4 linked regions of the Drosophila melanogaster genome follow. Changing the gene in region 3 together with the main gene of any one other region gives a genetic interaction. Each region holds a gene or a part of one and is shown on either strand. Other genes may lie near its edges.

The links.
Region 1: of PGRP-LC (region 3) and PGRP-SC1a, changing one suppresses a phenotype caused by changing the other (phenotypic suppression), as found in Drosophila melanogaster (one study listed by BioGRID).
Region 2: of PGRP-LC (region 3) and TM9SF2, changing one suppresses a phenotype caused by changing the other (phenotypic suppression), as found in Drosophila melanogaster (one study listed by BioGRID).
Region 4: of PGRP-LC (region 3) and CG8046, changing one enhances a phenotype caused by changing the other (phenotypic enhancement), as found in Drosophila melanogaster (one study listed by BioGRID).

The regions. Positions count from the first base shown.
Region 1 is NT_033778.4:8,707,415-8,711,196, reverse strand, and holds PGRP-SC1a (peptidoglycan recognition protein SC1a), read right to left. Parts: upstream 1,465-3,782; 5' UTR 1,435-1,464; coding exon 877-1,434; downstream 1-876. Other genes in the region: CG14743 (uncharacterized protein), read left to right, coding at 1-42, 95-329, 516-799; CG14744 (uncharacterized protein), read left to right, coding at 1,829-1,903, 1,965-2,185, 2,245-2,570, 2,627-2,701, 2,771-3,277, 3,337-3,476, 3,546-3,780. UniProt on the Drosophila melanogaster protein: N-acetylmuramyl-L-alanine amidase involved in innate immunity by degrading bacterial peptidoglycans (PGN). Plays a scavenger role by digesting biologically active PGN into biologically inactive fragments. Has no direct bacteriolytic activity.
Region 2 is NT_033779.5:20,729,678-20,736,558, reverse strand, and holds TM9SF2 (transmembrane 9 superfamily protein member 2), read left to right. Parts: upstream 1-2,249; 5' UTR 2,250-2,495; coding exon 2,496-2,633; intron 2,634-3,542; coding exon 3,543-3,737; intron 3,738-3,798; coding exon 3,799-4,781; intron 4,782-4,835; coding exon 4,836-4,995; intron 4,996-5,055; coding exon 5,056-5,559; 3' UTR 5,560-6,143; downstream 6,144-6,881. Other genes in the region: Fs(2)Ket (female sterile (2) ketel), read right to left, coding at 1-141, 215-456, 1,129-1,186; CarT (carcinine transporter), read left to right, coding at 6,307-6,399, 6,458-6,682.
Region 3 is NT_037436.4:9,338,412-9,344,068, reverse strand, and holds the start of PGRP-LC (peptidoglycan recognition protein LC), read right to left. Parts: upstream 3,632-5,657; 5' UTR 3,480-3,631; intron 1,905-3,479; 5' UTR 1,742-1,904; coding exon 940-1,741; intron 1-939. UniProt on the Drosophila melanogaster protein: Major activator of the imd/Relish pathway and is likely to encode a pattern recognition molecule for the humoral immune response. Required for Relish processing and nuclear translocation following proteolytic cleavage.
Region 4 is NT_033778.4:9,161,398-9,167,186, forward strand, and holds CG8046 (uncharacterized protein), read right to left. Parts: upstream 3,571-5,789; 5' UTR 3,554-3,570; coding exon 3,319-3,553; intron 3,251-3,318; coding exon 3,141-3,250; exon of another isoform or gene 3,083-3,140; coding exon 2,932-3,082; intron 2,876-2,931; coding exon 2,686-2,875; intron 2,629-2,685; coding exon 2,306-2,628; intron 2,078-2,305; coding exon 1,932-2,077; intron 1,864-1,931; coding exon 1,674-1,863; intron 1,607-1,673; coding exon 1,450-1,606; intron 1,388-1,449; coding exon 1,330-1,387; 3' UTR 1,029-1,329; downstream 1-1,028. Other genes in the region: Rad51D (Rad51 recombinase D), read left to right, coding at 4,338-4,588, 4,648-5,162, 5,225-5,469; CG42382 (uncharacterized protein), read right to left, coding at 5,466-5,789.

The sequences.
Region 1 (3,782 bases), on a different chromosome or scaffold from region 3:
TTCTTGCACTCTCGCACTGACATCCCGCCATTTTATCACTCGGTAAGATCGATTTCTTTAGAGAAAGCAATAAATTACCCTTAAACTTCGACAGTCTTACTGCGCGCTTACAATCTCCACCGTGATTATATTCTTTTGGATTTGTGCCTGGGAAATGGATGCGCTGATATCCATAATTGGGGTCGTCTTTGATCTGGCCCCGTCCTACATGAGCATCACCTTCAACTCGGTGTCCGCTGCCACAGCTGACTTAATAGCCTACGCACATCTCGCCAAGCATGGATACGGAAAGATGGCTTTTGGAGCCATCATCGGTGGTTCTGTTTATAGTTAGTGGTAAAAGTCGATAATTGCGTGCTAGACTATCCAATGTCAATTTTCAGCATCTAAAATTGTTTTCAAATCTCAGAAAACCAGTTTCTCTAGGAATCATGCTCATCAATCATCAATCAATGATTTGGCTTCTGCTTTAAGGTCATTGTAGAGGTCATAAGTAAAACAGTCTTTTCCCGCAGGTTTGGCAGTCAATGTGGGCATCGAATTGGTCTTACAGAAGAAACTCAACTCCCGCGGTCAAGTAGTCTTGTATGGAGATGACGGTGTAACCATCTACATATTCCTGGTGATAACCATCACAACCACCTTGTGGTGGTGCCTCACCTTCAACTTTGTTGCCCGCCGATCCGCTGGGCTGTTCATGTGGTCCCTATTCGTGTTGTTCCTAGTTTACACTACGGCCATAGAGTTGCAGTGGGTCCATGGCTTCCAAGACAATATTCAGATTCGCCCGACTGCCTAATAAACCAATGTATTGCCAAGACAAAAAACACGATTATGGTGCGTTTAACTTTATTTAGCGTGGTTTGTGTCAAGGACCTAGCCAGACCAGTGGGACCAGCCGCGGATCTCGTTCCAGATGTGGGTGCCGGGGCATTCGGTGGCGCTGACCTGGCGATGACCGTACAGGATGTAGCCGGAGCTGAGCTGGCCACGGTTGACGGCGTCGTTGAGCAGCTGCTGGGCGGCGGAGATCATGTTCGGCTCCAGGGTGTCCCAGTTGTAGTTGCCCAGGAAGCTGATGCCGATGCTGTAGGGGTTCCACTCGGCGGCGTGGGCGCCCATGTTGTTCCAGCCACGCCCCTCGTACACGTTGCCGTCTCCGCCGATCAGGAAGTTGTAGCCGATGTCGGGCCAGCCCAGGGAGTCCATGTGGTAGTTCTGGACGCTCTGCAGCACGGCGTTGCACTGGGCACGGGTCTCGCAGTAGGAGCCGGCGGTGTGGTGGATGATGGCGTAGCTGAGGTAGTTGCCCAGGCCTACGGTCCATTTGGCGCCGCGACCACCCCACTCCGCCTTGGAGACGACATAGACGCCCTGGGCCATGTACTGGCTGCAGACCAGGACGGCGAGGAGGAGAGCCACTTTGGAAACCATGATTACCAGCTGTAATAGTTGACGATCGCTTGATGGAGATCGTGGGTCGCCGTGGCGCTTATATAGCATCAGTTATGCGTATGGGTTGCCATCTTATCTGGTGGTTCATGGCTAATTTACAGCCCTCGTCGATGGCACATGTTTAGGTTCGTATTAGGGGAAGACCCTTGGCGTGAGCCTCGTCACAATCGCAATCTTCGGGTGTTGATTTATTCAGCGTTTTATGAATGTGGTTCTTCTAAATAAATGCTTTATCAATGTGCTGGGGTCGACACATTGGCCGGTCACCTGAATGTCTTTGTAGAAAAAGTCAAGGAGTGTTGTTCGATTCTCGTCAGTTCTAAATTTAATTCTCAGCATATTCTTTTGACTTTGAGGGAAGAATTTGAATACAATGAGTGGGCGAACGAAAAGGACTAAATTTAACATAACAGAACTGGACCACGAATTTCACTACTTCATCAAGAATGTAAGATATTGTGAGAATACAGTGAGAAATTGGTGGCCATAGCATTTGTTGGCTCTTACAGATGAGTTGTAGGGCCGTGATGAGACTTCCGTACAACTATCGCTGCAGGATGGCCACCCAAGTGAGTGACTGCAAGCGCATTATAAACTTTTTCAATTACTTCAGGATGATGTACTGCTCAATTGACATCGATGACAAAGCAACAGAGGTCCTGTTCATGTTGCTGTTTGCCTTCATATGTGTGGCGTTTCTGTGGCTGATGTCCTTCAATATTGGTACCTAGTAAGTTTTTGGATAAAGTGCACATTCCTCTGATTGCTCATTCGAAATCCTGCATTAAGTTTTTCTCCAGTCCTCAAGATCATCTCGCTAAAGCTGCACATGAATGAGTACCTGGCAGGAGTTACCTTTCTGGCTTTTGGTAACTGCAGTCCAGAAATAATAGCTAATCTGATGCCCGTGAGGGCCGATGCACCCATCTTTACCATAACTGTGGGTAATACTCTGGCCATCATTCTGCTGAGTGGAGGTACAGTGTGTTTTCTGAGACCCTTTAGGATGAACGGACATTCCACTCTGCGAGATCTACTGTTTCTTCTCCTGGGTGTGGAGGTCCTGAGGTTTGTGATGATCAAGGAGGGAGCAGTGACCCTGGGAGAGGGTATAGGTAGGAATCTATTTTGGATTTGCCTCAACTCACTGATCTTTAAAACCTACTTTCAGTGCTCTTCTTAATTTACGTTGTTTACGTGGCTATTAATATAGCTGATTTGGCGTTGCTGCGGTACTACATCAGAAGTAAGGAATATTCCCCCAATTTTTTAATTACTCTAGTTATAATAGCAACTAATTACATTTACCATTCAGAACTTCGAAGAGAACTGGACTATTTGGAGGGCCTAACTCCTCCACCAATAACAGAAATAAATGCAAAGATAAGAAAGCTAATATCTTGGGAAGAGCAGGATGACATTGGGATTAAGGACACCACAAAGTACCGTCGGTCCAGAGACACGGGAAACCACTTCTCAAATATGACCAGTAGTGGCTACTTTGTAACCCCCATCCCAGAAAGACGATCCGAACACGTTGACTACGAGTTAAATCGCACAGCGCTCCATGACTCGGAGAATCCTAAAAACCTACAACTTTTCACGGAGTTCTTCCAGTCTCTCAATCCCGTTGATGCAGAGGCGTGGCAGCTGGGTGGGTGGAGCAATCGAATATACCTGATTGCCAGGTGCCCCCTGGTGTTCGTACTGCAGCTCTTCATACCCGTGGTGGACTACGAAAAGATCAAGCACGGCTGGAGTAAGCTGCTCAACTGCACGCAGATCGTGACGAATCCTTTCGTGGTCATTACCCTGGTGCACTGTAGGTATGCGGGAGTACATCAGAAGTGCATTTGATTCCTAAACCTCGCTGACCCTCAGCTGGGGTGTCCAGCGTCTACAAAACCTGGCACATAACCCTCGACTTCAGCATCTCCATGTGGTCGCCGTGCCTTACAGTCCCGCTAGCCATTGTGATCTTCCTGCACTCTCGAACGGATGTGCCGCCCAGCTATCACCACGTAAGAAGATCCAAAGCAGCACCACTGCGTGCTGATTAGACTCGAATGGGTATCAACCTTCCTTCCTAGCTGTTTATTATCCTCACGTTTTTCAGTTCCATGGTGACGCTCTGGCTCGCCGTCACAGAACTGGAAGTGCTCTCCGAGATTGTGGGCATCGTATTCAATCTGTCCGAGAGCTTCATGGCGGTCACCTTTGAGGCTGTCTCCAATGCCACTCCGGACATTATAGCCAATTACCAGCTGGCCTTGCAGGGCTATGGGCGGATGGCCTTCGCCGCCATAATAGGAGGTCCAGTTTTTGGT
Region 2 (6,881 bases), on a different chromosome or scaffold from region 3:
TCCTTCGCTGACCACCTTGTTCACCAGTGTCTGGATGAGCATGGGCCAGCGGTTTATCGGCAGCTCAATCACGGCCACATAGGCCACGCACTGGGCGGCGCAGGAGGGTCGGGTGTTCTCGGTACCCAAAGCAGCCAGGATCTGAAAGTAAGTCGCAGTTATTCAGTGCCAATTGTACAAGTCATATGTTTCAACATCAGCGTATGTAACTTACGTTATTCTTGATCAACTCGCGGATCTCGCTGGGAAACTGATGCCAGCGATCCTGGTACTGTTGGCTGACCTTCTCGTCCTTGCTGGTCAGGTGGTTCTTCAGCTGGAGACCGGCTGCCATTCGCGCCACCGCACTGTTGGCCGTGTTCACCAGTATCTCTGACAGCGCCTTGAGAAACTCGGGCAGGTTGCTGGCCGCCGCCTGCTCCAGAAAGTTCTTCGCCGATAGCAGCTCATTTTTGTCTGAAAATGCGTCATTTGGTTGGTTAGACATTTTTAATTTCCAATTATGTCAACGAAAGATTTTATTTGTGGGCCTACACACGCCCACCATTTTGGGTCGGCTTAAAGCTTTGGTATCAGGCCATTGAATTTTACAACAATTGACTTTTGGGAATGTGAAGGCAAGATAGGAACTTTTAGGCAAGGCGTATATAGTGAGAATATTGTTTAATAAGAATACAATAGATGGTGAAAGAAGTGTGTGCATATGAAGAGCTAAGCAGTAAGGTCTAGTAATGAATTGTAGCGGTGGAGCATAAAATCTTCAGGCAAGGGGCAAGTTTGCAGGCATTCCTTATCAGCAACCGGAAGAACTGGCCGCCAAGCATACGGTGGTGACTCCGAAGCGACGCCTCATCGATTCCTAGAGTTAGTGAGGTTATGTCGCAGGCGGTTCGTACATCCTTAATTGTAGGAGCGCAAGCATTGCGAATACATACAGACGCGCCGCCAAGTTTCCCTTGGAGTATGTACGTGGATGCACATGTGTGCGGAGGCCCCTAGCAACCAAACATATGCGAGCGCCTATTGCAACCCTGCGCAACATATAACGCGCGTCCCTCCCGCCAATCGAAGAAAAATCCATATTTTTCGGATCTATACACACACGTTTGTAGCAGTGGGGAAACTCACCTGGCGACACCGTCTTTTCCAAAATGGCAATCAATTGCATGGCGATATCGGAAGTCATGTCTTCGCTCTTTTCCTCTCTATATGATTTCTACTTCACTTTCCGTTTCTTTCTGCAGCTCGTGCGTCTGTGTGGGTGATGGAATTTTTGCGTAATTACTAGACAACACTAGTCTGTCGGCTGCAAATGGTGGAGACAAAAGAGTTAAAGTTATTGGGCTGCTCCGCTGAAGCTGGCGATTTTATTTCGACAGGTTGCAACACCTTGATTGTCAAAAGAATTGATTTTTTCGCACACACGCACACAACAAGCGCGTTCAGTAGAACTCTTCATTCTACTCACATTGTTGTTTGGTTATTTTTCGGGAACGGTAAAAAAGCGCGGGATTCCTAACGGCGATTTTCTTAGTTATTATTATAAGCCTATTTAATGGTGGCAGAACCTTTATCTGCTCTTCGGGAAGTGCAGGCAATATATTTCTTGTGTCTCCGATTTGAAATAGAGCTGAAACGAATGTCGATTTTTATTTGATAGCACTGAGTTTCGATGAAAAAGGCGACACCTATTCGATTGCTTTATTCGAACTATCGATAATTTTTAAATCTAATAACGTATTAATTAAATATTCTTAAATGCGTAGGAAATGTGCAACCATTTGACAAAATATATTATTAGTCAGGAACGATAAGACCAAAATACTTACTACTTGTATTAAAACGCGTTTGCCTCCCCAAAAATCAATCGTTAAATTTGAATGATTGTGCTTATCGAAAATTTTCATATTCAAAGATAAGCACGGAAGCAAAACCTCGAACGAACTAAATAATCGAATACTTTGACTTAAGAGTCGTAGGTAAAAAACTAACAAATGAACAAAATTTGATTACTATATTAAGAAACAGTGGATAAAAATAGTAATATCTTAGAAGTATCACACGTATACGTGTGTATATTGGTTGCATTCGCTTACTGAACAGGGGAATTAATTAATTTAAATATAAAAGTTTATTAAGTCTACCAAATTTCGTTTTGCACGTAATAATAATAAGAGCTAAAGGTTTTCGCGGTAATATTTAGCTTTGCAAATGCTGGTAGTTTTTTTGTCAGCCAGTTGGCAGCCCTCTCAGCTGTACTAGGTGGCAACGCTGCTACAGTGCTGACGTTCGGCAAAAAAGAGGAAACGTAGTAAAAACACTCGAAAAACTCCGTATATTCCGATAAATATCCAGATAGTACGGTTTGTGCGTGGCCCGCCGATCCGGAAAGTGTGGCAGAGAATCGCGGACACGGCCACGTTGTGATTACAACCCGTACAAGTAAAGGAAGAAGGTCTGCTACTCCTGCCGTTCGTTGGTTACCCCAATTCGAGATGATCCTGCTATCCGGACTTCTGCCGCTCCTGGGCGTCGTTCTCTTGCACCTTGCGACCCCGACACAGGCCTTCTATCTGCCCGGACTGGCACCGGTCAATTTCTGCAAGAAAACCGACGTCTCATCCACATGCAAGGTAGGTGTATACGTATGTGCAGAAGTGCAGATGTACATATGTACGTAGATAGTGGGTGTGTTTGCCCCACGCCCGCCACAATTAGCAAAGGCACTGGAACTAGTTATGTACATTGGTTCTATATTCCTCTAATGGTGGTCACAGGCGGAAGCACTGATAAGCGCAGTAACTAGTTATATGTGGGGTCCATATGTGGCCCTCTATCTCAACTTCTGCTGACGTTGCCTACGCCAGCTCTCTTTCCTAGCGACAGCTAGATGGGAGTTCTAATGTTGGTTCAGCTGGCTCGCGAATGCGATTTCGGGGGCTCCCGACCTTAAGAATCTTAACATAGTGGCGGCTAACCAATAATTGAACCAGGGAACGCGGTTAGCTTGTCATGCTTCCTTGCATTATGTTTGGGTTATTTTCTTTTTAGTAATAATAGTATAACACAATAACAATATAAATTCAGGACAAAGTATAATTTTTAGTTTGATATCCCAAATAGATGGGGTTAGCCCTTTTAAAAGATGACCTAACTATTGGATGATAAAGCGTGAGCTATTGGTTTTGTTTGCTTCATCTTATCTTTAAACAAATCTAAACAACTTTTTAATATACCCGTAGGTCAAGAAATCCTAATCGGTTTATACGCCCTTAAATTAGACGTTGCCCAATGATAAGAATTAATTAAGGTGTTTCACATTCAATTGTTTCTAACAATCTAAGAGAGCTTTTTGATAAGATAAATTTCTAAGAACCCAAAGTAAAAGCAAATTACGGGGTCAAATTATCGAACGCATTTGCAAACTTTTGGAATTTTTACCAAACTTTAATAATTATTTCCACGATAAGATTAAAATACACTAGTATTATCAACAGTTGTCAATCCAATTGATTGATCTAATTCCTGATTATCTTCTTCAGTCGGAAATCTTGTTGTACGTCAACCGCTTAAACACTGAGGAATCCGTAATACCCTATGAGTACCATCACTTCGACTTTTGTTTGGGCGAGGAGCAGAACTCACCGGTGGAGAATCTGGGACAGGTTGTGTTCGGAGAGCGAATTCGTCCAGGACCCTATAAAATTCAGTTCTTGGAAAACCAGCAATGTGCGACCGTAAGATTAAACAGTTTTAACGCATTACCAACATAATGATTTAATGACTCTTCGTATTTAGACCTGTGTCAAGACTTACAAAGGAGACGATCCGGCTAGCAACCGTCGTATGATGGTTCTTAAGAAAGGAATCAGCTTGAACTACCAACATCATTGGATTGTGGACAACATGCCGGTTACATGGTGCTACCCACTGGAGAACGGCAAGCAATACTGCGGAATTGGTTTTCCCATGGGTTGTCTAGTTCGCAGTGATGGCGAGGGTTGTCCCATCAACTCTATATATAACCAGCCAATGCATTATTATCCATTCAACCATGTGGATCTCGAGATTACTTATCACAGTGGACAGTCGGAGGACTGGGGAATTCAGTTCGGCAACAGTGGACGCATAATCTCTGTAAAAGTGACTCCCAAATCTATTAAGCACACCGATAAGGAAAACCCCAATTGCTTGAGCACAGAGCCACTGGCAATCAGTGAGAACTCTTTAAAGGCTGGAGAACAGCTGGAAATTGTCTACACGTACAGCGTGAAGTTTGTAAAGAACGATTCTATCAAATGGTCATCACGTTGGGACTACATTTTGGAATCCATGCCGCACACGAATATCCAGTGGTTCTCCATTCTCAACTCCCTGGTTATTGTCCTTTTCCTGAGTGGCATGGTGGCAATGATAATGCTGCGTACGTTGCACAAAGATATAGCCCGCTATAATCAGATGGATAGCGGTGAGGATGCCCAGGAGGAGTTTGGCTGGAAACTGGTACATGGTGATGTGTTCAGGCCGCCGCGGAAGGGCATGCTGTTGTCGGTATTCCTGGGTTCGGGTGTACAGGTGCTTGTGATGGCCATGATCACCTTAGCATTTGCCTGCCTGGGATTCTTGTCCCCAGCCAATCGGGGAGCCCTGATGACCTGTTCCATGGTCTTGTTTGTTTCGTTGGGTACACCGGCTGGTTACGTGTCTGCGCGTATCTACAAGAGTTTCGGTGGGCTGAAATGGAAGAGTAATGTCATCCTTACCTCGATCGTTTGCCCTGGGTAAGTTCTTTGAAATTAAAGCGATATTATTATTTAATCGTTTTTCTTTTTTAGTGTGGTCTTCTCATTGTTCTTCGTCATGAACCTGGTGCTGTGGGGGGAAAATAGCTCCGGAGCTGTGCCATTTAGCACGCTAATTGCTCTGCTTGCCTTGTGGTTTGGCGTCTCTGTGCCACTAACCTTTGTAGGAGCTTACTTTGGATTCCGCAAGCGCGTGAGTATATATTTAGCTAGTTTTTAAAATGGTTCCTTACATTTGTCTGTACGATTTCAGGCATTGGAGCACCCTGTGCGTACCAACCAGATTCCCCGTCAGATTCCGGACCAATCGATCTACACACAGCCTATTCCTGGAATCGTTATGGGCGGCGTTCTACCCTTTGGCTGCATCTTCATTCAGCTGTTCTTTATCCTGAGCTCGCTGTGGTCCAGCCAGATTTACTACATGTTCGGTTTTCTGTTCCTGGTCTTTGTCATATTGGTCATCACATGCTCGGAGACCACCATTCTGCTGTGCTACTTTCACTTGTGTGCGGAGGACTATCACTGGTGGTGGCGCTCCTTCCTGACGTCCGGCTTCACAGCAGTCTATCTGTTCATATACTGCTGCCACTACTTCGTCACAAAGCTTTCGATCAAGGACAGTGCCTCGACGTTCCTGTATTTCGGCTACACGGCCATTATGGTATTCCTGTTCTTCTTGCTGACCGGCACCATCGGGTTCTTCGCGTGCTTTTGGTTCATACGTAAGATCTACAGTGTTGTCAAGGTGGATTAAACCGCATAATTCAAGAAGGAGCTCGTGCGAATGTATTTTTGTATGTGTAGCCACAAATTTACACTTAAGCCTAATGTGTGTGTGATTTCTGCGCTGTGCGCCCGGCACAGACAGTTTTCTGTTTACTATAATTACGATTGATATGTGTATAATAACATATGTTTGTATCAGGCAAGGAACAGTGGAGTAACGAAGCGCGCAATAATTTTTAAGCAGTAAACAGCGAACGAGTTGGAGTTAAAACGACTTGAAGCATCTTTTGTATAGCTCTTCGTTCTGTTAATCTTTAGGCGTAAAATTTAGCATTGTCCATTTCCCAGCTCTAGCAACGATTCCAAGAAAAGAAGAAATTATCAAGAAAAAAAAAACTAAAATCCCTTTAAATGTACTGAGCTGCATAACGAAGTACTTTAAACCCCGTTCTCTACTTGTAATATCAAAGCCTAACAACTGTAATTAGTGGCTCGTCTTAGCCGTAATTCGAGCAGGATTGAATTCACGTGTAATATTTTAAATACTTTAGTTTAAACTATTTAAATCTAACTTGCGACTAAAGAATAAACAAAAATATAAATTACGAATCGAGCCCACTGCGACAAACTTTTTACTATCAACAGAACCAGCTCATTCTTTCAACCCTAGACAACTGACAGTTGTCAGTGGTTGCTTCTATGGCTTCCGTGAGCTGAGCCAATCGGGCAGTGTGAGTAAACATTTCCAGCTCAGAGCTTGTCTAGAGGCGCATCCATGTCAGATATTGAGGACAACGATGGGGACGAATACGATGAACTTTCGGAGCTGCGACAACGCCACAAGCCCGAATCCCAGCCCTCGGTGGATGTGCATATCTGTGAGACACGGTCCTTGATCTTCTCTAGATTTGCTGTTTTCTTTCCAGGAGGCCTTCGATCTGGACGACCTTCTGCCCACCATTGGCGAATTCGGCAAATACCAGAAGCTCTTGGTTTTCGGAATTTGCCTGCCCGCCTGCATACCGTGCGGTTTTTGTGCGTTTAACCAGTTGTTTATGGCTGATACTCCGGATGACTATTGGTGTCGCATCCCGGAGCTACTCGACTTGCCCCTGGAGCAGCGAAAATCGCTGTCCATACCCAAGGAACTGGTGAGTAATTGCAGCCATACGAGTGCCGAGGCTAAGGCAATCAAGTCAGCCCATTGATTGTGCGTTGCTTAAGGTGAAGGGTCGATACGAGGGTGGTTCGATGAGTAATCGAAGGGGCTAACAATGAAATGGGGGAGAGGTAAACCTTATATTCTATGCCTTCTATTATTTAAATATATTTTGAAATAACTGATGAAAT
Region 3 (5,657 bases):
ACTTTCGCCAACCAGAACGGCGATTTAATTATGGTAATTGTGAAAATCAATCAAGTAAACAATTGCAGTTGCTATGGTTTTTTTTTGTGCGTAATTATCGCAAGTTTTCACCGATTTGATTTACGAGCTGCGGGGCCTTGAATCGGCAGAGATACATTTTCTTTTCGTGAATGAAATTTTACTTGTTTTTTTTTTGTGCTGAGATTGTAATCGGAAAACAGGGAGATAAAAAACGAGTTCTATAAGTAATAAAAAATGTATTAATATTAAAAAATCCCCCGACACTATTGGCGTTAAAACTTTTTCTCTCATGAATTTTATTTTATGTGAGACAAATTTTGGGTTCGTGATTTTCATAAATATTTTTTAATTTTCAAGCTAAAATATTTTCTATACGTAATAAAATTATTTGGCATTTTAACAAAATTTTCCATAATGAGTTTTGTTGCCTTGCGCAATTAAATGCATTTAATATGTTTTTATAGTAACATGTAGTATTTGTTCTAGGCGCATACAATGAATCTGTCTGCTTTGTGGGCCATCTGCTAATCTACCATTCGCAGCACGGTCGTTAGACCTGGCCAATTGGGTTGAGTAAACAAATAGTCACACGCGCTCAGTTTTGGCCCATTAAAGCAAACAGAACCGCGGCAAGGTGAAGACAGAAATGAAACGCAAACAAAGGCAGCAGGAAATAGCAAAATAATATATATATGTTTTAAGGATATATATCCCAGAAAATATATATTTTAGAATAGAAAACTAAAAAGTTGAAATTATCGAACTAACGATCCTCAAGAATAACTATGCAGAAAGATGCGAAAGCAATCGAAAGTTACAACTTTTAAGATTCCATTCTTAGTATAGTGTACAAAAACTAAACGATATCAGATTTAGATTTTAAAATACAATCTATTAAATTAGCTTAGAATGTCTTACCCGGCGCACTTCCATTCGTGCTGGGACCACCATTGAATGCGGGGTTATCCTGTCCACCAGCTGGTCCCTCGCCCGGTTTCCACTTGTCCCGATTATCGATGAGAAACTGTTGTATCGTCACGGGTCCCTCGTAGAAATGCTTATCACCGAACGTCACATCTGTGGAGTTGGTCAGGGCGATGCTGCCAATACCCTGCGTGGCACCGCCCGCCGGCGATGTGGGCGTGGCCACGGCCAGATTACCGTTCAGTATTTGCTTGGCCACAATGCCAGCTTCCAGGGGATTGGGTGGTGGTACTGCCGCCTCACCTGGCGCCACATGGCGACTGATCACCGTTAGACCCTGGTTAAGGTCGCGCAGGTGTGAACTGTTGGGCGGGTAGGTGACCTGGTGACCCAGCTTCTGGACCGTATAATCCTCCGCTTCGGCCTCCGAATCACTATCAATACTACTCGAGTCGATGGCATTATCATCGATGGACACAACGGAAATTGTGGTACTCCGTATGGAAACCGCCGGCGAAGATGTCTTTCCAACATTTTCCGTTGTTATATTGACAGTGTGCTCAACGCTGATACGCTTGGATTCCGTTTTCTCTTCCGATTTCGATTGGAACTGCCCTTCGCCCGTCCCCCGATCTTTGGTCTCCTTCTCCGGCCGGAATGCCGCCACATTATCGTTTAGTATAACGCCCGAGTCTGTGGACGAAGTACTGCAGTTTTTTGGTCCAGTCAACGGATCGTTTACTCTACGTTTCGCATTGGAACATTGGCTCATTTCCGTTTCATTGCTAAAAGGCATGTCGAACTATCGTGACAGTCACGTAACCAGATTGATATTTTCTCTGGATCTCTGAGCGTTATGTGTTAGCCTTCCTATTTAGCAGATTGGGCGGTACATTATTTTTCGTATGGCAAAACGGCTGACTAGGCACAGCTCTCGGCAAACATCACATCATGAGCATCTGCAAATAAGTATACGTTTTTTTTTTTGTTGGTCCCGGTTAACTTGATGATAATAAGCTAGTCAAACGTTGTCAAATTTCGAAGAAATTTTTTGTTTGAATTGGGCTAAAGTGGGCTTAACTTTGGGGAGGCACTTTGGCTTTATGGTGCACTGATTTTTTTATTTTTGATAAAACCACATAATTCCCTTGTGTGCAAGTGTTTTTAGAACATTGATAAATATATGTATATATTTTAACAATGTATTGCTGATATTATATTATGCGATAAGCTAAGTGATATTTATTTGATAGCTTTGAGCATTATTAAACGGTTTGGATAACACACACAATTTAGAAAAATATTTCGTCAGTTCTTTAATACTTTTCAATTACACATGCTTTATAAAAGTGATTTTATTGTTATCACAATCCATTAGATCGTTCAGTTGCAATATGATTTATAAGTACAATCAACGCTTTTAGTTCATGTATACACGATTGTTGATAAGCTCGATTGCCAACAGAGTTTTTAAAACGCGAATAAAAAACGTTGCTGCTGTTGTATGGCAGTGAAGTTTGTATAATTAAGATATAAGGGTATTGAATAGTGCTGGAATATATGTGTATGTATACAGTTGACTTATATTGTATACTCGTCAAATTCGATTCAAATAGTTGGTCAGTAAGCTCGCACGAATGCAAGGCTTATGCAAATTAGCTATAATCATTGACGTAGTCTATTTACTTAAGTGGATTCCGAGAAACACAAAAGTAGTAGTTGTTACCCATACATATGCATGTTATGCTTAATTTTGGATATTCGAAAGCCACGAGTGACGTCTTCAAAAGGCTGAAAGATCATTATGGGCATATGCCGTGACGTCTTGATGATACGTAGATACGAAGGTTTCCGAAGAGGTGTGCCAATTTCAAAACAGTAACTCTATTTTAAAGAATTCCGCGAATTGTGATAAACTCGATAGAATTGAAAGGGTGCCTTGGAGGGTAGCGACTTTATACTTTAGAATCGATGTTCTAGAGAGTTGGCACAGAGCACGCTTTTGAGATAACACCAAATGGAATACACCGAATAACGACAACGGCTACAAATGAGAAACGGAATGGCATTTTGAGTTTACCGAGCGCACCAATACACGTGCACGGGAGCGGCGGCCATTGTCACTAATACACGCACAGATCATCACAATATGGGTGCTCTTTGTTTTGGTTGTATTCTGTTTGGAGAATCGATAATAATTAACAACTCTGATGTTTTACGTGTTTTCAAAATTATCATTAAATATGGCCTATGTGCAAATTAATTGATTTTCGATCGATGTTTCGATAGCATGTTTTCTTTTTCACTTCCACGAATTTCTTTCACTTCCTTTCGTGTTTCGAAAGGCTAATTAACATTCCTGGAACATAAAACGATTGGAGAAACAAACTAGTTTGCACTTAAATATCGATATAATTGCTCAATTATTTGTCACTAGTCATATAATAGGATTATGATTATTTTGCGGTGTGTAATATTCTATATAATCACTCTATATTCTATTCTATATTAACACTTTGCATATCGTTACGCACTTTAAATTGCCGACGAAAACCGTTGCAGCTCGTTTGATATTTGAGCGTCTATACTATATAGCCAATTTGTAAGTCGAACTTTTTATACCGTTTCGCGCCAATTTCGAATCGTTGAGCAGCGGCGCGTTCGAGTGACTCTGATCAACTGAGCGGCGATCAAATCGCAGCGGCCTGAAAAGCTGGAGCGTCTGATATGGCAGCGTGTGGGGAGCGTGTGTGAGGGAGAGCAGATCGCTGAGAAAAAAAAAACAAAGAGAATGATGGGGAGAGAGCGGTCGGCGTTTTTGCGTTTATTTAACCAAAGTTGTTTAATTTGAGTCCGATTTTCAGGCAGTCCAACTTGTTACCGATTTGCATTTTAATAAGTGATTTCTCAAAAGATCTTAAGAGTGCAACTCAAAAGCCTTGTTCCAAAAAACTTCTAAATCGTTTTAGAAAATATAATTTTTTAACATATAGTGTTTACATATTACATAATATGAACGCGTTCTGTTGTATTTTCTATCCTTTTTGTAATCTAGCGTTAACCAATAAAATGCAATGATTTAAATTTTCCTTAAAAAAAACTGTACATTTTAATAACTTATGATAGCGGTACAACTTTTTCTCAATCGAAACTGGTTTAAACGAAAAGCGAGTGATCCCAAGAAACCGAAAGAATTCCGATAACTGCATCTGGCGAGCTGCATATTTCGGTTTTTCCGAGCGTCATTAAGTCGCGGAACCTGTTCTCGATTTCGGGTTTTTTTTTATAAATCTTCCAGATATTAGTCAAATTTATAACGATACCTCCAGCTACGCCCCGTGGCTCGAGAATGGTCTCTCCAACTTCTCCCACCTGACGATGACTGTTTGTTTTTGTTTAGTTGTTTAGTCGTCCGCACCGACATCGACACAGACAAATCGGCGTATACGTATTATATATGTACATATGTATGTATATAAATATATATATTTTTTATTTATTCAACCAATAAACAACACAAATCTCCGGCTCTCTCCCGTCTACCAAAACACTTACAGACATTGCAGTGTGGGCAAAAATGTGAACATTTTAAATTGCGCTACCATTTCCGAGAATTGTTTTGTTTTGCGGCCCGCAATCGGTTTTTGGCTATTTCACTTTGTGGTACAGGCCAGTTATATATATATATATGTATACATATGTACATGTGTACATAGCTCTTTTTTTTCTCTTCCAATTCCAGCTTGACCCATTGTACTTGTGTTGAAAAATATTTAATGTAATTATAGGCGAACGGCGGTTCGGCGATCTCTGATAGTCTGAAAAGGGCGCCGGGAAACTGTTGATGGATAAAACGTAAAGAGCAACAAATTGGCGAAACGAATTCCGAACACGCTTACAGAAAAGAAAAATAAAAATATAATTATAAGTGGAAAGCGCAACGAGCTTTAATCGAAATAGTTGTAGACTATTTATAATATTTTTTCTCTCAGTGTTCCTGACTTACTGATAAGCTTGTTGAGTGGCCTTTAAAATGTATTATTTTATTGCAGTTAAAGTTCTACACCGAAACATCTAATGATTTATGCCTTTTGTAGCCAGGCAATCTATTCTTTGTTGACCCATTATTTTATTGCGAAAAATGCCAGTAATTATTGTAAATCATTTCCAATGAAGCAGATAATAATTTCTTTACAACGGTTGCGAAATCAATCACCATAGCTATTTTAATATACCTACCTCCACATATTTTCTTACCTTAATTATTATTAATTATTTTTACTTTTTTGGTTCCCTCTTCGCATATGTGTTTTTTTCTTCTTCTTTTTGGTTTTTACACGTGCCGTACTCTCGTCATTGTTTTGGCCAAAAATTCGTTCCGCGTTGTAGGTATAATTTTTTTTTTAAGGCGCCGTGAGATTAATTAGTCAATGAATGTATGTACGTCACTCTTTTGGGCAGGTTGGACTTTAGGTCATTGATGAAAAGAGGGTTAAAAGGCACACCCACTAGTTTATTAGCTTTCCATGTCGTCATAGTTTCAGCTCATCATTTGATGCGCAAGTTAAAAACATAAACATTTCGAAGGAGTTTCTTTTTTTTTTTACCAATATAAATCATCGAACGTACTTCTCTGTTGAGGGCTTTGAACTGAAGGTCGGTGATGATAGCAGATCTTATTGGCAAATATCCATTTCATTTTTAATATATTT
Region 4 (5,789 bases), on a different chromosome or scaffold from region 3:
ACTCCGACGGCGACGATACAAATAGAGTTTCGTTCTCGAAATGAGCGGCTACCGCGAAATCCGTGCGCTTTTATAGCGGGTCTCTCGGCGGCAGAGGAAGCGGCAACACATGAGCACACACTAGGGTAAACAGTCGCGCTGGCGAACAGTTGTTCATCTAGAGCCGCATCAGTTGGATTCACGTGAAATTGCATTCCCCGGCGGAAAATATGGGAAAATATGCCGCACTCCCGCTTAGCCAGATTCGATTCCAAGCCCAAAGAATGCTCCATTTAGCCGCCGGACGGGCTAAATTGGATCTGGAGCCCTACCTTACCAGCTCAACTCACCGAAAGTTGGGTAGGGAAAACGTGAGAAGCGTAGTTTGGATGTTTGGTTTGATTTCATCTTTGAATTGTGCAAATGAGTAGCACGAGCCAGAGCCATGGGAGTCTAAAAAGTGGTTAGTGGTTCCACTGACCAATGGGCAAACTTACCGAGAGGAACAACTGATGAAGTAAATGTGTATCTGTGCACGTTTCGTACCACAAGTAATGGTTATACAGGTGTATGTGTCCACTGTTTTTTGTTATCAGTTAAATAAATTGAAAATCGCGGAATGGAAATTTAAGCTTATGCAAGAATAAAATCGCTATAATTATAATGGTATTTTGATTTTGATCATTTTTTACATTCATTTTAATTGGCCCGATGACAATTCATGCGATACGGTCGGCTTGAATCCACCCAGAATTCCAGGGATTTCGTTCTGCTCCGTTGGGCCACTAAATTTGTGCGTAAATTGAGTTCCATTCGGGTTTCGAGTAGATTGCGGCCACAAGACCCATTTCGATCAAGGGTGTAAAAAATCTGGCGACTAATTTAAAATTAGCAAGTGGAATTAGCGCTCGCTCAGATCCGTAGTTAGCACCAATCGTTGGTGTACAAAAGTGTGCACATCCTGACATTTTTATAGATATTCCGTAAGAATTGTCAAGTGACTGCGCACACGCCACAGCTTGGCTGCAATAATAACCCATATTTTTGTTAATGAGAAAATATTTTGCTTCTGTAATTAAACGATTTTTCCCCAGGGAAGGCAGAGTGAGATCTCGAGATATTGGCAAAGCACAATTCCCCAAACTCTACGCTTGGATTTGTATAGGTTATTACGCGACAATCGAGTATGTAAATAGGTTCGAGTTGATATACGGATGAGTGGATTTCGCGTAAAGAGTTTGTCGAGGGAGTCCCCATAGCCAGTCCAGTCCACCTGTGTAAGTGATAGCCAAAACTTGACATGACTGGCGCTTTCTTCCATTCTCCATGAAACTTTGATTCCCCCATAAATCATTTAAAAACCGGCTCATAGTACACCAGATTTCTTGACTTTTTGTGCCAAACCGTGCTGAAATATTTGGTATGGAACACATTAGAAATTTATCGCACTCGAGGTTCATAGAAACTTACCCCAGCAGAATAATACCGATGCCAAATAAGAAGGCGCTAAACACGTTGAAAATCCCCGGTTCAGTGTTCAGTGTACGGGTGTAGATCGCAACGTACAAGGTGGAAGATATGAGGGGGGAAAGTGCTTGCAAGACACCAAGCAGGGCAAAGATTTTGCCTAGAAAGGGGAAACCACAAATATGTGTGTTAAGAACATGATCATAAGGCATGCCATCCGTACTTACCGCGCTCATCAGCCGGCAGCAAATTGGTGATCATGGTGCGGCACATGGGGTTCACAAGCGACTTGAAAACGCCCAGCCCAATAGCCACGTATATCTGCCAGCTCTCCAAGGCGAAGCCCTTCATCAGGCTGCTGGAGCAGTGGCTCAGCAGGGAAACCAGTGCCAGCCACAGAATCGCCGAATTGGTGCACTGTCAGTCAAAGGGGTCATGGGTCATAGGTCAAGCACCAATTTAGCTAGCTATCACATACAACTCACCTTGCGGAGCGACCAAATAAAGAGAACTCCACCTGAACCAGCCACTGCGGGTACAAGAATGCCAACGGTCTCGTACTCAGTAAACTGCTTTACGGTCCAATGGAACTTTATCCTCATAAACTTATAGAACACAGAGTTGCTGCCGTCTGGCGATAGCCAAAATGAATATATCAAACCAAGATCTTTGTCAATGCTTATCCACAAACAAAAGGACGTGTCAATTAATAACAAACCCATTTCAGAATTTCAATCGATTTATGAAATCTTGAAGTGCCAAAACGATTTAGGTTCATAAACGTTTTCAGGGCTTTCCCGTATGATCACCTCGATTTTAAACGACGCTTGCATGCTAAATTATGATTTTTGGAACTTACCCGATACAAAGGCGGTGAGGAGGAGTACTACCATGATGGTAGTGAGCATGAAGCGATTCTGGTGCTCACGAGGCTTCGAGCAGGTGCTCCACAAACTCTTCAGCATGGAAACCACACTGGTGTCAGTCGTCGGTGTTGATAGTGTCCTATTTCTGGCGGGCAAACTCTCCGGTAGTAGGAGTGCCATCAGAAATAGAGCCGTGAAAATGCAAACTGCAGATATGCTGAACACAATGTAGGCGTCCGTGGCCTCGTATGCATAACCAGAACCAAGGCTACCAAGGAGTAGGCCCACATATATGGCCAGTTCATAGGCAATCATCCTAGGGTGCATAAGTCCATAAGTAATAGTAAATCCACTCGATTCCTTGGCTAACTACCTGTAAGATCGAACTTTTCCGCCGGAGACATCGGCAATAAAACAGACGGCAGCCACGGAATAGGTCACACTGCTTCCCAAGCAAGAGAGCGGTACGATGGATAGCACATACCACCAGGGACTGACCAGACCTTGGGTGTACATGGCACAGTAGGCAATCGCAGCTGAAATGAGATACTGAAGGCCGTAGCCTGCATAACAGGTTAAGCACATGGGCATCTTCTGACCAGCGGTAGTTTACACCCACCTAGAAAAGAGCACATGAGAAGGGGCTTGCGTCCATAGTGGTCCGCCCAGGAGCCAGCAAAGAGCCCACAAAAAGCGGGAATAAAGCACTCCACCAATCGCATCGCCAGTGTGACCTGTGCAGCGTATGGCTGTACCTGCTCCTCAATTCTCTGGAAAACAGGATATTAAATCAATTGCTATATTCCCTTCCAGAGTTATTATCCCCACCTTTGTTTCATTCGTGATATTTTTAGTGCCCAGCAGCTGGCAAACGCTATCCGGATATCCGAAACCCGCGGTGCAGCTTTGGTAGATGACTTCATTCTTTAGAACGGTTGCTAAAATCCAGGCGATTACACATAGCCTTAGTGATACGAATGCCCTAAGATCATTTCACTGGACTTACATGAAAAGTTGTAGGCAAACAGCAGGATTAAAATAAATGGTTCGAGTAGATACATGCCCAGTGATTGGGGTCTTGAAGCCTGAGGATTGCCTGGAAATTCTGTACCAACTGCAATAGCTGACGCACCGGAACTGCGCTGCTTCTCGCTAGCTGTGCTGGCAACTTCCGGATCCGCATCGCCGGATCTCTGAGCTTTGGCAACCAAATTTTCGTGGGCGTGAGGTTCTTCGTTCATCTCTGTAACTCAACTGAGTCTTGAAATGGATTCATTGCCTTTAACGAGAGGCGACAAGATTTCAGATAAAGAGACGGGATACACTTATGTATGTGTGGGAGCTCTCACTCAGAAGGCATATGTACATGCAGTATGAAGTATGCTCTCCTATTGTGAAGCCTCTTATCGTAAAAGAGCAAAAGTAGTTCCGTAATAAATTATTAACTTTTTATTTATTACAATTTCCTATTTTATCCTTAGCGTACCAACTGGTGTTATTCAGAAACTTTCGTTTATATTGCATGACCAATTTAAATTGTTGATATCGAGGGAACACTGTAGTTTTTTTGTGATCCCCACACGTGAGTCAGTTTCGTACTGAGCATTTCCTCTTAGGGACTTTTTTTTATTGGCACAACGTGCCGTATCTAATGTAAGAGCTGAGTTGTGGCTGCAAAACAATAGATAAACACTCATTAATATGCATGTTGTGAATCGAGTGCCAACTTAGTTTAGTTAATAAATGATCGACTCTTTAATTAGTACACAAAACTACTCTAATTTGAAATTTCTTTACCTTTATGTAGTTTCTTTGGCAAGTACATATGGTTAAAAATATAAGATTTAAAACATTAAACATATTTTCGTAATTTTTGAAATGCATTTCAATTTATTTTCCTGATTGGTGAAATTTAAATTTAGCCGCACTGTTATCGATTATTTATAATGTGGACAAACTATCATCGACGATAGTTCGATATCGATACGTTGTTGAAAAGAATATAAATAAATAAAGGCGCCCAAAATGGACCTCAGGCCTATGATTTTGCAAACATGCACGGGAAGATTGCTATCCGAATACCAATTAAATTTACTCCGTAAGAACAACATATGCTCCTTGATCGACTTTTATGATGCGGATGAGAAGAAACTCCACGAGCTATGGGCCATAAACATACAATCTGTTCGGGAATTGAAGAAGGAATTGTCTCTGTTGCCAAAAGGTTCAGTTGATGAAGGCACTCCGGACTTCAATTACGATACAGGAATCGAAGAGTAAGTCTTTTTATGATTGTACCAGGACTTCGGATTTTATAGCTCAGACCACACACCAGGTTGGACAAACTGTTGGACTCCGTAGAGCAGCCCTTTAAGCCAGGCAGAGTCTGGGAACTCTGTGGTCAACCAGGCGTAGGCAAGACCCAGCTGTTGTACACGTTGGCCCTAAATTTCGTCTGGAAGCATAGCCAGGCAGTATTATTCATAGACACCAAGCGGGAATTCTCCTGTAAGAGAATACAGGACATGCTTCGGGCCAGGGAAGTGGATGAAGAAGCCAGTGAAAGGGCCATGAAAGGAATCCGGGTGGTGCAGGCTGCCACTGGTGCTGATATAAATGATCTGCTAAAATCCTTTGATCATCAATTGACCGCTGAAACACATGCTTCCATGCAAACGAAGTTGGTCCTTATTGATTCGCTTGCCGCTTGCTTCGCTTTCTATCGCGGCCGTAGGATGCGGGACGTCAGAAAGTCAGTGCTGACAGAATTGGCTTGCAAGATCCGGAAACTAGCTCTCAGGGGCGTGGCTTTTGTCATTGGGAATGTGTCATTCTTTGAAAACAATAAAGGTATGTGCTAGTTTCACTTGTAAATTACGGAATTAAAACTATTTACAACTTTATCTTAATAGATAGTTGTGGTGATGATGGAGAGCAAAATGGCGACGATGAGGAAGTGACACGACAGCAGTTGGAGCCCATGTTGGGATCCTACTGGAGCTCGGTTGCCACGCTCAGATTGTCGGTGGAGCTTCCAGAGGAAGAGGACTTCACCCTCCAGGACGATGGCCTGCGTTTCATTTACGTCATCTCGAACACATATGGCCCTGATGGTGAGCACTGTCTGCTGCGCATCACGGATGCAGGCGTGGTCTAACGCCGGGCAAATGGATTTTGCGGATTTTGCTGTTTGTAGGACTTCATAACCCGTTTGCCCGGCTCCAGAGCATCGCCCAGACCCGGGCGCTTACGCCTGTTGAAATTACCCGGTGCAGCTTCTACGACCACAGGCACTGATTGATCCGGTAATGCACTCTTCTCCGCCGCCTCATCCACCGACAAGTCGGAATCGTGAGCATACTGGCAACTGGTGCCAAAGCGGCAGCGTCCCCTTCTAAAGTTCCAGCAAATCTTACGGCCATTCTTCAACTTTTGGTGCGCGTCGTTGTCGACCATCTTCACGTGCCGCTCCAGCGA